2 linked regions of the Arabidopsis thaliana genome follow. The protein of the gene in region 2 interacts with the protein of the main gene of each other region in a pairwise test. Each region holds a gene or a part of one and is shown on either strand. Other genes may lie near its edges.

Region 1 (3,630 bases), 1.3 Mb from region 2:
AATGTAATTTTGCGTTGGAACAAAGAAAAATATTATAATCTTTTTTACTTTTTGTTGGATGTTGTTAAATAGAATTTCTCTAAAATAAATTTTCAGTTGATTTTACATTTATTTTTATAAAATTATTCAAATTTATTAAGTTCATAAATAATCTTTAGTAAGTTTTATTTGTGACATTTTTTTTTTCTTTTCATTTTTTACTCTTTTATTCTTGAGAAATTGATAAAAACTAATTGACCAGTTAACAAATACTATTGATAAGATTTTTTGGTTAAGTCTTTCTTCTTATAAGGCCAAAAGCTTCTGAGCTTGTCATGAGTAAACTAGCAATCTTGGTGGTTATGCATTGCGAGTAGCTCACTTTGATAATGGTTATCGAAATCTAAACCAGTAACGAAGCATTGAGAAAATCATTTAGTAAACCAATCTCTAGTTAAGTAAAACAATTTTGTTAATAAAAATTCATGAGGTACAAGTAAAACAAGTTCTAGTTGAAGTAAGAAACTTTTAAAGAAAAATTCCCTAAGGACATTCGATCCTTACACCAAACAGCATAAACCCTCCTTTGTTCTCCTCTGATTTGGTTTCTTTATCTTCTAACATGGAGCTAACCAAGTTTTCTGTTTTCTTTACTTGCACTGAACTGTCATGAACCGTCATACTTACTTCCTCAGCTACCACGGAACCGTTGTCTGAAAAGCAATGAACATCGATCATCAAGAAGTTCTTTCTTTGACCTTCTAATGTCTTCACATTGTTCGGGACATCGCAAGTGTAGAAGGCAATAACATCCTTCTCCTTGAGATTCTTCTCCTTCACGAAACTATTCCATCCTCTGGTGAAGACAAAGCTCTGGCTACTTTTCCAGTAACAATACCTAAACTTCCATTGTCTCATTGCTCTGTCGTAAAACACAACCTCCACATCTTCCACAGATCCTACTATTTCACCCTCTTCTTTCTCGCTTTGATCAGCGCTTATGAAAGGCATATACTTCACTGCATACTTTTTAGGTATCACAAGCCTATTTAGTTTCCCTACATCGCTCGGTGTCAATTCCTTCTGAAAAAGCTGTGTGCAAGAAAAACACTTGTCTGATTCTTGATTCACTTCTCCTCGGGCTTGTTTTGGTCCCCCGATGTTGATACTCGCAACAATCTGAGATCTGATTCTGAGAAAATCTCTGAATTTGTGTTGGTACGAACCGTCTCTGATCATGTTCAACACAGTCTCTGTTGTGTAGCAATTTTGAAAGTCTGGTTCGTTGAGAGTGATTGTAGACCAAGGGAAGTTCCGGTGCGAGTTAGCGTCAAAGCTTCGGAGTTTGATAGATGCACTATCGTAAGCCGTGGCGGCTTCATCAGCGGATTTGAAAGTTCCAAGCCAAATCCTTTTGTGGTCTGCGTAAATCTGGGCACCCCAATGACCGTTCTGTTGCTGAACGACTCCTTTGTACTTGACATTGCCAGAAGCCACAACCGTCTTTGGTGAAGACGAAACCACTAGGGCGTTTTCTGGTTCGTCATCAAGTCTCATGCGTTTCTTGAGAGGCAAGAAAGAGTCGCTTGAACCTGAAGACACTGAAGTCTCCGTCTTTGCGTCGTCGATGTTGTTCATTAGAATTCAAGAAACAGAGTAGTAGAAAGATACGAGAGACAGAGAAAGAGAAGCGAAACAAAACGATGAAGAAATATGAGGAACAGAGAGAGAACTATATAAAGAGAGCAAATCGTGGGAGCAAATTGTGTTTCTTAATCTTGTTGTTTCTTGCGGTGCTTGAGTATTTATCAAGTTATCATTTTCCATTTTCTATTTGTTGTAGTTTCTATAATTTAGCTATGAGAGAAAATTATGGAAAGTATTGAAATTAAAGAATTTCCATGTTTCGTCGGTTCATTAATTACTTGATATATCTGATTGGATAAAAAATGGAAATACGTGAGAGAGCCGCTGGAAAATATCATCAAGTAACTTATTAGGGTTTTATGTTTACCCTAATTTTATCATTCATTAACAAAACGTTTCTCATCTCATGTGGTTGAGTATTTTTTTTATTTCTTCATTATTATTTGTTTTCCAATAAGTCAACTAAAAACAAAAGAAAAATTAACAAAAATATTTCTCTATGTAAAAATTTAGCAAGTTTTGAGAAGCAGAAAAAGGTACACAGTAAATGGAAAGAATACAAAACGTACGTTTAATGATGTACAACAATTAGGCTTTTGCAATCACCACGATCACGACCAATTAGGGTTACACATCTGCTTCCGTGATGGGCAAATAAGACATCTGAGATTCCTAATTTAAAACTTCAGAAATTTAATTTTGATGAGATTTCGTCTACTTGATTATACGAAAGGAAGGAATAGTTATGATTTGATTTGACTTTTAATTTTCCGGATTTGGATTTTTAACTTTGAAAACTAGTGAGTATTTTTTAACCAAATTTAACCGATCTAGATTAATTTTAACAACCACAATGATGATAAGGTTTTACAATAATCATCTACTAGCTAGTTTAGTGTCTCTACACGAATTTTCTCTCTTGGAGGCTTGATATTTTCTTAGTCACTTTTTTTCTTTTTGTTTTTTGTTTGTTGTGCACACTATAAATAGAAGAGGGACCTTTTTTTTATCTTGAATGATAGAAGAAACAGAGAATTAGGGTTTCATCTAATCTGCCATAGTTATGGATCCGCAGGTGGTGGTCGATAAGAAATCTGAGGAGCCTGATCTGAAGCGTCAGAAGCTGGAGGAGGAGGAGGAGGAGGATTGCGAAGAGATGTCTTCGTACAGCGAGTCGACGTGTAGTTTCGATTCGGAAGATGAACGATTGGTCGAAGAAGAATACCAAAGAAGCGGGGTATGTAGTTGTAATGATCCACCAATCTCTCCTTCGCTTCTTACTTTTTCGAATTGAGATTTTGTCTGTGATTTCAAAAGCATTATGTCGGCTTCTCTCATGAATGTGATTGTTGTCTGTAGTATTACGACTTTGACACCACGAAACAAAGACGCCTTGTGTTTTGCTATCCTGTTATCTTCGAGGATAGTGACGTTGCTCATAAACCCGAAACCGACGGAGATTTGGTTCATAGATTATCCAAGATTGCTCTTCAGAAATACAATGATGATAAGCTGGAAAATCTTGAACTTGTGAGAGCTGTCAAGGCTAATCGGAAATATGGAGCCGGATTCATTTTCTACATCACCTTCGAGGCCAAGGATGCTAATTCTCACACTGACCCCATTACTTTTCAAGCTGCCGTTCGCTACCTTCGAGGGATTGAAACGGTCTACCGTGTCCACCCTAAACCATTATTAGATTCGTAAGCTCTAAAATTTTCCCATCCTACTAAGTTTAAGTTGTTATTGATATGTGTTTTGGTAAAATCTTGTTTTTTTTTGTGTGTTTACTGTTTAGGACCAAGTAGTGGCAGATGTAACGGGATGTTCCTTTGTATAATGACATTCTACTCAACTTTCTATTTATCTGCAAACTTCTTTACCGTTTCTGGGATAAACTTATGCATCTTTTACTCTCGTACCATTAAGCTGTGTGTATCTTTAACTTCTATTGCGACAAGTTGTTTACTTTGTTTTGTAAAGATTTTTGGTAGCTTGTATCTT
Region 2 (3,312 bases):
ATTTAGGTGGGCAAAAGTTTTATTAGTTGGTAATAAACTTGAGCATCATTCTCAATATAGTCATGATGTAGTTACCGTTAATTATATTCAACACAATTCGTTTTTCTTGCTTTGACCACAATAGGAGACTACACAACAATATCTATTAGCTATATTCCCTACATTCAAATTTTATTTGAACGTTTAACCAAGTACACTCTAGCTGAGATGTTTGACACAAGGATTAAACCTAAAGATTTTTACAAAAAAATAACACTAGCTGATAAGTACACCATAATCTACATTAACCCTAAGAATTTCTAATCCATTGATCGAATGAAAGGTTTTAGTTCTTAGCATTCATATGAATTGTCTCATATGCTAAACACTAGACTCACATGACTTTGATATACAAAATCTTCTACACTGCAAATGAACAATGTTGTTGTTGATGTTTATCTATAATACAAACAAAATTAAGTTCAACGCAATTTCCTCATTTCAAAGATGTAGCAACAGAGCATCTCTTACTCACTTCTGCAACAGTACTTATGTACTTTTTCCCTTTTTGGACTTTTATGCTCAATTCATCTTTCTACATTTGACTATTCCTTTCAAAATATTAACCAACCAAAATAAAAAGAAAGAAACGTTTTTACTTTTTACTTGTAAATCCATTCCAATATGTTCGTCACATAAACAGAGGATTTATACACCAGAATTGTTGGACCTCAAAAACTAAAATAAATAAAAACATTTTTGCTTCAATTTGGTTTCTTTTGCTCTTCTTTCTAGGAAAAAAAAGAAAACAAACAGAAATTTCCAAAAAGACACCAACAAAAGAAGACAAAGGCAAGAAATCAGAAACGGTTTCATTTTCACTTAACATCGTTGGTTTGCATTGAGATCTCAAGACCAGGCCATATCAAACTGTCTCCTCCACTTTTACCTTCAATCTCCCCAATCTGCCACGTGTCACCACCACAACCATCAACCACCGGAATCTCTCCTACGGAAGAATCTCCAAGATACCCAATACTCATCTCCTCAAGCCCGTACCCGTACCCAAACCCGTAATCCAACCCACCATTTCCACTTCCTAAACCTAACAGAGAAGCAAAGCTTCCATGACCTGAAATTAAATTAGTAACCTTAGTTTGACTCGCTTCAGTCGTGGCTGGTTCTTGTGTCGTGGTGGTGATGACGGAAGAAGAGGAGGAAGAGGAGGTGGCAGTGGTGGAGAAAGAACGGTGACGTTTTGAGGAGCTTCGACGAGTTCCACCACCGACGGGGACGTCACGGAGTGTACCACCTTGAGTCCAGTAACGGCGGCAAGATTTGCAGTAGTAGCGAGGCTGAGCGAGGTTATAGTTGTTGTAGTAACAGAACTTGGTGGTGGTGGAGTTGCAGCGAGGACAAGGAAGAGGCTCAGCCAGATTTGGCGGTGGGTAAGCCGCCGTTGAGGGCTGAACTCTGGTGGGTCGGGTTTGGTTTGGTTCCGACGGCATATTAAGTTGAGAGTATGAGAAAACGAGAGAGAAGTTAATGGAGAGAAGAGAGAAGAGAGAAAGCGAAAGAGAAGGGGATGTTGTGAGAGTGGTGATGTGGTTTTTATATAGAGGCTTTTAGACGTTTTTTTCAGTTGCCTTTTATTTATTAATTGATACATATGAATTTAATTTATTTTCCCCTTCTAAAAATAATTTAATTCATATTTAGTTTTTTTTAAAAATAATTTCTTCTATATTAAATTTAACTAAAAAATGGTTAAAATATGAGAGTGGATTTAAAAATAGTATTTACTTCGTTAAAATGAATTATTAGCGGAATAGAGATGAGAGAAAAGTTTGTTGAAGATATTATGAAGCCTTTTCTCATTAATTGTAAAATGATTCTGTACAAATGTCTTATATACTTTACACTATACAATGGTTCTACTAAACCAACTAATACCAACTAAACCAATATACATATCTGATATGCCCCCTCAAGATGTGCATGAAAAGATATTAAGAATGCTCATCTTGGATTTAAGGTGTTCGAATTGATGGGGAAATAACGGATTAGTAAGAATGTCCGCTACTTGGTCTTCAGTTCGCACATGAAGCAACTTCAGCTCGCCATTGTCTAGTTTCTCCCTAACCGTGTGACAATCTAGCTCTATATGCTTCGTTCTTTCATGGAACACAGGATTTGTGGCGATGTAAATAGCAGTTGTGCTATCAGAATATAACACAGGAACCAAGTAGCTAGCTTTTAAAGACATGAGCAAAGTGTGAAGCCATACCAGTTCACACGTAACCAGTGCTAAGGCACGGTACTCAGCCTCTGCAGAAGATCTGGAAACCACATGCTGTTTCTTGGAACGCCAAGATATCAATGAATCACCCACAAACATGCTGAATCCAGTTGTTGATCTCCTACTATCTGGACAGGAAGCCCAATCTGAATCTGCAAAACCTTTAAGAGTAAGATCTGCAGATGCAGAATAGAACAGACCTTGGCCAACACTGCCTTTGATATATTGTAAAACTCGATAAGCAGCTTGAAGATGAGACGTCCTAGGAGCAGAGGAAAACTGACATAACTTGTTAACTGCAAAGGTGATGTCAAGTCTAGTAATTGTCAAATACATCAGCTTTCCTACAATACGACGGTATTGTTCTCTATCATCCAACAAATCACCATCAGTCTTCATCATCTTCACATTCGGGATCATGGGAACTGAAACAGGTTTACAGTTAACCATACCAGTAGATGCTAATAACTCAAGAGCATACTTTCTCTGGCAGATAGAAATACCAGCTTCAGTTCTAGCAATCTCAAGACCCAAAAAATATTTCAAATCCCCAAGATCTCTTAACTTGAATCGCTGTTGTAAATCCTGAGTCAATTGTATTGCAGCACCTTCACTTGTACTCGCAATAGCAATATCATCAACATAAACCAAAACAATCACAAATTCTCCATCATACTCTTTAATAAACAAAGTATGATCACCATGTGTCTTCTTAAAACCCAAATCAAGTAATGAAGCAGAAAACTTCTTAAACCACTGACGAGAGGCCTGTTTCAAACCATAAATGGATCTCTTCAATCGACAGACTGAATTAGGAGGTAGAGTGATACCTTTCCTTGCCGCATAACCTTCAGGTAACTTCATGTAAATCTCTTCCTCTAACTCACCATTCAAGAAAGCATTAGACACATCAAGCTGTTTTAAGAACCATTTCTTAGAGGCAGAAATCTTCAATAACAACTTGATTGTAGTCATCTTTGCCACTGGAGAGAAAGTATCTGTATAGTCTAGACCTTCTTTCTGAGTGTAACCCT

What was found.
Region 1: the proteins of AT1G47655 (region 2) and AT1G50680 interact in a two-hybrid assay, tested with the Arabidopsis thaliana proteins (one large-scale study listed by BioGRID).

The regions. Positions count from the first base shown.
Region 1 is NC_003070.9:18,777,079-18,780,708, forward strand, and holds AT1G50680 (AP2/B3 transcription factor family protein), read right to left. Parts: upstream 1,537-3,630; coding exon 523-1,536; downstream 1-522. Other genes in the region: AT1G50690 (Cystatin/monellin superfamily protein), read left to right, coding at 2,690-2,863, 2,986-3,329, 3,425-3,434.
Region 2 is NC_003070.9:17,523,612-17,526,923, reverse strand, and holds AT1G47655 (Dof-type zinc finger DNA-binding family protein), read right to left. Parts: upstream 1,583-3,312; 5' UTR 1,488-1,582; coding exon 858-1,487; 3' UTR 616-857; downstream 1-615. UniProt on the Arabidopsis thaliana protein: Transcription factor that binds specifically to a 5'-AA[AG]G-3' consensus core sequence.